Linked DNA regions of Macaca fascicularis. The main gene of each other region encodes a partner of the protein of the gene in region 2 in a complex. Links are inferred from orthologs where the notes say so. Each region holds a gene or a part of one and is shown on either strand. Other genes may lie near its edges.

Region 1 (3,302 bases), on a different chromosome or scaffold from region 2:
AGTGCTGGGATTACAGGCTTGAGCCACCGCGCCCGGCCAGGACTCTTTTGAGACAGGGTCTCACTCTGTCACCCAGGCTGGAGTTCAGTGGTACGATCATGGCTTACTGCAGCCTCTACCTCTTGGGCTCAAGCAATCCTCCTGCTTCAGCCTCCTGAGTAGCTGGGACAACAGATGAGCACAACCATGCCCAGCTAATTTTTATTTTTTGCAGAGACAGGATTGCTATGTTGCCCAGGCTGGTCTCAAACCTCTGGGTTCAAACAATCCCCCTGCCTTAGCCTCCCAAAATGCTGAGATTACAGGAATGAGTCACTGCACCCAGCCCAGGACTATTTGTTCTCATATTCCTCCTCATACCTAGTTTACTATCTGGCATGTAGATGCTCAGTGAATGATTGATTTGGGTAGTTTTGGTTCTTTATACGGACCTTCAGGTTAGCCCCAATGCACTGGCATGGAGCTAGTTACCTGAGCAGGTCTTCACAAAGGTCTGAGGTTAGTAGCAGGTGATAAAAGGGGTTGTGGAGTCTGGACTCCTAACTTAAGAGGTGGAGATGCTAAAAGAGAAACAAAGGCAGCAGAGTTGCTGAAGGTAGGGACTATGGCATTTATTAACCCTGTGTTTTCCCCCTCACTGGTCACTGCTCTTGACTCGTAGAACAACAGGTACAGAACTGCAAGGGATCATCCCCAGCTCTGTGATCACCAGATCCACAAGCTCTGGGGGAGTCACATCATAGACTAGATTCAACAACCGTAGGGACGCGTGGTTCTGCCAGTTAGCCAGTGCGACATGTTCTCCCCGTTTACACTGCAGATCATCAGGGTCATCTGCAATGGAAGGTGTACCCATTACGTTCTTTTAGAAAAGAATTTCTAGTTTATCTGCCCCTCTCTCACTCTCAAGTCTTCACAGGTAGCTGGAGGCTTCTCTTTTGCCCTACTTACCTAGCTCATTAGAGACAAAGGCATCAGTCTGCACACGCTCACAGAACTTGTATGTTTCACAGCAAACCAGCACTGGTACATTATGGGCTCGAGCCACCAGGGCTAACTGTGCTGTCCCTACCCGTGACATCACAGACCCGTTGGCCAAGAGTGCATGAGCTCCCAATAGCACCTTGGAAACCTGTTTGTTTCACAGGAGAAGGGGAAGAGAAAAAATGTCATTGTTGTATCAATGCAGAATAAAGTCCCCTACTTACAGGACAGCAACATTAAGACAAGTAATAAATCTCAACATGGCCGGGCGCGGTGGCTCAAGCCTGTAATCCCAGCACTTTGGGAGACTGAGACGGTGGATCACGAGGTCAGGAGATCGAGACCATCCTGGCTAACACGGTGAAACCCCGTCTCTACTAAAAAAATACAAAAAACTAGCTGGGCGAGGTGGCAGGCGCCTGTAGTCCCAGTTACTCGGGAGGCTGAGGTGGGAGAATGGCATAAACCCGGGAGGCGGAGCTTGCAGTGAGCCGAGATCGCGCCACTGCACTCCAGCCTGGGCGACAGAGCAAGATGCCATCACAAAAAAAAAAAAAAAAAAAAAATCTCAACACCTGTGAAAAGAAGGGAAGGAAACAAAAACAAAGAGACAAGTAATAAATCTTTTTGTTTTTTGAGACCAAGTTTCACTCTTGTTGCCCAGGCTGGAGTGCAGTGGCACGATCTCGGCTCACCACAACCTCCGCCTCCTGGGTTCAAGTGATTCTCCTGCCTCAGCCTCCACAGTAGCTGGGATTACAGGCACACACCACCACTCCCAGCTGATTTTTTGTTTTTTCAGTAGAGACGGGGTTTCTCCACGTTGGTCAGGCTGGTCTCAAACTCCCAGCCTCAGATGATTTGCCTGCCTCGGACTCCCAAAGAGATAGGATTACAGGCGTGACCCACTGGGCCTGGCAAGTAATAAATCTTAATCATGGCTTTTCTTCTGTGAAAACATCTTAATGATGGCTCTTCCTCTGTAAAAACACCTGACCACTGACCCATCAAATCTCCCACAGGAAAACTAAACTTTGAAGTTACTTTTGTCTTGTTCCCTCTTCCTGGTTGCTAGTTTAATGTAATGTTTTTGCAATAGCTAGACTGCTGTAACATACTGTCAGTGTTTTTCCAATTAAATATAAACAGGGCTATGTAATTTTTTGTCTTGACACAGGGTTTCACTCTGTCGCCCAGGCTGGAGTGCAGTGGTGCAATCACAGCTCACTGCAGTTCCCGGGCTCAAGCAATCCTCCCATCTCAGCCTCCTAAGTAGCTGGAACTACATGCGCATGCACCATGCCCAGCTAATTTTGTATGTTTGTGTGTGTATGTGTGTGTGGAGACAGGGTCTCATTATGTTGAGCAGGCTGGTCTTGAACTCCTGGGCTCAAGTGATCCTCCTGCGTTGGACCCCCAAAGTGCTGAGATTGCAGGCGTGAGCCATGGCGCCAAGCCAGGACTATATAATTCTAATACTTTTAAATAATTGTGGCTGGGCACAGTGGCTCATGCCTATAATCCCAGTACTTTGGGAGGCCGAGACAGGGGAATTGCTTGAGCCCAGGAGTTCCAGCCTGGGCAACATAGCAATATCCCATCCCTACAAGAAGAATAAAAACTAGCTGGGCGTGGTGGTGCACACCAGTAGTCCCAGCTACTCAGAGGCGCAGGTGGGAAGATCACCTGAGCCCAGGAGGTCAAGACTGCAGTGAGCTGTGATCACGCCACTGCACTCCATCCTTATCTCAAAACAAAAACAAAACTAACTTTGAGAAGGTGAGATTACATCTATACTACTACACTTTTTTACCTCCAACTTTGGAGTCCTTTTCCTCTGTACTCACCTCTGGGAGCACATAGGAGGCTGCAGGAATCAGCAGGTAGGAGGCTGGGACACCAGCACGGACTAGAGAATGTAGCGTGTGCCTTCCTTCCAGCCGTGGCCGGCTGTCCACCACTACCACCCGAAATCGCCGGCCCTCTGTCCAAGCCTCCTGAAGAATTCGTGATACCAGAGATGAGCTAGAGGGAATGAAGAGGAGGATTCAGTTATAAATGTCAGTAACTGATGACTAACTTATTCCCAACTTATTCCCAAAGGCAAATGGGTAGTCCCTTCTTCAGATCATTCCAACTCCCCAGTTTGCTCAGTCACAGGGTCTGGACCATACCATCCATATACCAGGATCACATCTCCATTACTGATCTTCTGGTAAGCAAAGCGTGAAATTGCCTGAGCTGCAAGCACAATCTTCTCTTTCACATACCGGTCAATGGCTGCTTGAAGTTCTGACTTGGCCTAAATGGAGCAAAAT
Region 2 (3,653 bases):
TGAGCCTCTCATTGGATGACTCTTCACATTCCAGGGTACCCTATAGTCACATTCAGGAGCAAGCAGATAATTAACATGCAGTAACAACATCTATTTAGCACATTACAGTTTACAAAGGGCTTTTATATACATTGTTTCATTAATCCTCATAATTTACAAATAAACAGGCTCAACAAGATTTTCTTGCCCAAGGTCATTGGCAATAATGGTGGGACCTGAATCTGGGTTTTCTGATTGTAAGTCCAGTGTTCTTTTTAGTCTACCATAACTGCCTGGTTGGCCTCTTGGTAACTCATTTTGGTTGCAGTAATGTGATGCTTCTAATAGTACTTCCCCTTTCCAAGAACAACAGTAAGGCTCAGATTCTAGGGGCTGAGTGTGGTGGCTCATGCTTATAATCCCAGCCATGGTGGGAAGATCGCTTGAGCCCAGGAGTTCAAGACCAGCCTGGGCAACATGGCGACACCCCTTCTCTGCAAATGATACAAAAATTAGCCAGGCGTGATGGCACGTGCCTGTAGTCTCAGCTCTCCGGGAGGCTGAGGCAGGAGGATTACCTGAGCCCAGAGGTCGAGGGTGCAGTGAGTCATGATCATACTACTGCACTCCAACCTGGGTGACAGAGTGAGACCATGTCTCAAAAGAAAAAAAAGACTTGGATTCTAAAATGTACCAGAAGAGGTGGAATTATTTGGTTCTGCTTGTAGACATAGATATGATTCTAATAAGGTTTTTTAGTTCAGAGGGTCCCCAGAAATCCTGAAGGTTCTCGGGTTCTTAAGCACTGTATATAGTCTATAACTGTTGTAAACTTGATGAAGTATCTTCTCTTCTCAGGCTTGGGCTTAGAGGGTGAGTGGGTGTTTCTGGTGACTTGTGGGATGGGGAATGAGAGTTAGGTGGGAGCTGTGCTGGTGTCAGTCAGCCCTGTCCTTTATGAAGGGCTCTGCTCTGCAGTTGGTACCCTTAGTGACCCAGAGGCCTTCCCATCCTGAGCCAGGTGATAACGTGGTGCTGGACCAGACCTACCTGTGGCAGGGTGTTCGAGTGGCTACTGGAGCACAGATCCATCAGTCTCTGCTTTGTGACAATGCTGAGGTCAAGGAACGAGTGACACTGAAACCACGCTGTGTCCTCACTTCCCAGGTAAGACCTGATGTGTACTGTGCACGGGCCCCAAATTGAGTGGCAGTCACATTGAGCCAGAAGGGACATTATTTCCACCCATAATCCTGTCTGAGTTGAGAGAACAAATCCGGTGGTTTCATTTACCGTCTAGGCTTAGTTTAAAAAAAAAGAAAAAAGTTGCTCTCATTATCAGGATGCGCTTTTCCTCCACACACTAATGGTTCTGTGTTTTTTTCCCCTAGGTGGTTGTGGGCCCAAATATCATGCTGCCTGAGGGCTCGGTAATCTCTTTGCACCCTCCAGATGCAGAGGAAGATGAAGATGATGGGGAGTTCAGTGATGATTCTGGGACTGACCAAGAAAAGGAGAAAGTGAAGATGAAAGGTGTGAGATTCGACAGGTGTGGGGCATCTGTGTGTCTCGCTGCCTCATAGAAGAACCAGTGTTTCCTCCTGGAGGGATTAGTGTTTCCGCTGGGCCCTCTATAGATCATTGCCTTTTCCAGGTTACAATCCAGCAGAAGTAGGAGTTGCTGGCAAGGGCTACCTCTGGAAAGCTGCAGGCATGAACATAGAGGAAGAGGAGGAACTGCAGCAGAATCTGTGGGGTGAGCTAGGCCTGATGCCTGCCCTCCTACTGAATCGGAATATTTTGAAGGATAATGAATACTTCAGAGTCGCATTACTTATTCACTCCTTTATTTATGCAGACAGGGCAGGTATATTGCTCTCTGTCTATGGCTCTTTTTTTTCTTTTTCCTCACCCATTATGGCTTCTCAGGACTCAAGATCAACATGGAAGAAGAGAGTGAAAGTGAAAGTGAGCAAAGTATGGATTCTGAGGAGCCGGACAGCCGGGGAGGCTCCCCTCAGATGGATGACATCAAAGGTGAGTGGCCAGGGGAGAAATGCGCTGGACTGGTTTATTCTCTGCCTGGATCAACTAGCCAGAGGCTTGTGTTCCTCAGAAAGGGTTTGGTATCAAGTCAAGACTGGATGACTTAGAGCATTTTGGAATGATGTTGGCCCATGAACTTACTCTTGCTTTGATTCCAGTGTTCCAGAATGAAGTTCTAGGAACACTACAGCGGGGCAAAGAGGAGAACATTTCTTGTGACAATCTCGTCCTGGAAATCAATTCTCTCAAGTAAGAGCAGCCCCTCCCTGTTCTCCTCGGGGTGATCCCAGGAAAGTAGAGGCTTTCTCGTAAGCGTTTCTTCTCCAAATAGGAATGTATTCCTTTGAAATCCCAAATGGAAAGACCAGTAGTATTTGGAGCAAGGAGAGCACTATTAAGTTCTAGCCTCAGCATAGACTTTCTCCTTCCTAAACCCTCCCCTTCCATATTCCATCCAAATTCCTCTTCAATGTCTGTCAGTGTCATAGTTCTAAGCCTGCTGAAAGGCCAGTGAAGGCCCTGGTGTCACCCCAGTCTCCCCACAGGTATGCCTATAACATAAGTCTAAAGGAGGTGATGCAGGTACTGAGCCACGTGGTCCTGGAGTTCCCCCTGCAACAGATGGATTCCCCACTTGACTCAAGCCGCTACTGTGCCCTGCTGCTTCCTGTGAGCAAAAATCGGAGCTGAGTACAAGGGATTGGGTAGAGGCAGATACACATCCTTGCTGTACTTGACTTTAAAGGAAATCAGGAGTAGACTAGCCTGTTATATTGGGTATATGACTTCTGGTTCCTTTCTCCTTGCCTCTGGAAGCTGGTTGGGCTCTAGAGCAGCCTTGGCTGGTTCAGAGGGGTCAGGTTGAGTTCAATACTGACTGGCCTTTGAGACTCCAGGATTCATACCATCCTAGGCCCCCAAAGGTATACTCAGAATGGACCTTTACATTCAGACTCTATGGCAGCAATTTGACCCAACACAAGATCAGCCTCTGGGGTGGGAATAGGTATTTTGAGGCAGCCTATAGCATCTGATCCCCTTTCACCTTCCCTAAGGAATCTGTTTTTCCCAAACCCTGTCAACAACTCCCAAGTCCCTCCGACATAATTCCACAGAACCTGTATCATCTCCCTCTTGTCCACCCATGTCATCAATATGGATTTGCTTGGATGTCCAGGTACAGGTGAATGCTCAGGAATATATTGCAGCTCCCTTCTTTCTTCCATAGCTGCTCAAGGCCTGGAGCCCTGTTTTTAGGAACTACATAAAGCGTGCAGCCGACCACTTGGAAGCGTTAGCAGCCATTGAGGACTTCTTCCTAGAGCATGAAGCTCTTGGTATTTCCATGGCCAAGGTGAATATGACCTCAAGCCCCATTCTTCTGCACTTGCTTTCAAATGAGGGTTTGTGACCACTGTGGGAGACATAAAATAGAAGCTAATGTGAATCCAGTATGGACCATCCACTCCCCCAATATCATGCTTATTGCTAGAATAGTACAGCTTGGAGCCGGGCTAGTAAGGTAGCCATCTGGGAGGTGGTCTGGAAATGTGCAAAGCTCTCCTCAGCAATAGTTCCAGAAGTTAGACCTGCCCCAGGAGCAGAGTGAACAGCTCACTCTTGTCCAT

The links.
Region 1: the proteins of EIF2B5 (region 2) and EIF2B4 are in contact, whole or in part, in a cryo-EM structure (PDB 7D46), measured with the Homo sapiens proteins. The link is inferred for Macaca fascicularis from reciprocal best matches to the Homo sapiens genes EIF2B5 and EIF2B4. Residues at the interface, in NP_003898.2 of Homo sapiens: Arg163, Lys294, Arg339, His340, Glu357; in NP_001029288.1 of Homo sapiens: Arg357, Tyr393, Pro396, Glu397, Lys466, Arg467, Glu469.

What each region holds. Positions count from the first base shown.
Region 1 is NC_088387.1:94,851,406-94,854,707, reverse strand, and holds the end of EIF2B4 (translation initiation factor eIF2B subunit delta), read right to left. Parts: intron 3,287-3,302; coding exon 3,159-3,286; intron 3,010-3,158; coding exon 2,832-3,009; intron 1,133-2,831; coding exon 952-1,132; intron 835-951; coding exon 635-834; 3' UTR 587-634; downstream 1-586. UniProt on the Homo sapiens protein: Acts as a component of the translation initiation factor 2B (eIF2B) complex, which catalyzes the exchange of GDP for GTP on eukaryotic initiation factor 2 (eIF2) gamma subunit.
Region 2 is NC_088376.1:96,059,915-96,063,567, forward strand, and holds part of EIF2B5 (translation initiation factor eIF2B subunit epsilon), read left to right. Parts: intron 1-1,000; coding exon 1,001-1,146; intron 1,147-1,370; coding exon 1,371-1,512; exon of another isoform or gene 1,513-1,528; intron 1,529-1,633; coding exon 1,634-1,735; intron 1,736-1,812; exon of another isoform or gene 1,813-1,908; coding exon 1,909-2,016; exon of another isoform or gene 2,017-2,183; coding exon 2,184-2,274; exon of another isoform or gene 2,275-2,570; coding exon 2,571-2,694; exon of another isoform or gene 2,695-3,253; coding exon 3,254-3,379; exon of another isoform or gene 3,380-3,439; intron 3,440-3,653. UniProt on the Homo sapiens protein: Acts as a component of the translation initiation factor 2B (eIF2B) complex, which catalyzes the exchange of GDP for GTP on eukaryotic initiation factor 2 (eIF2) gamma subunit.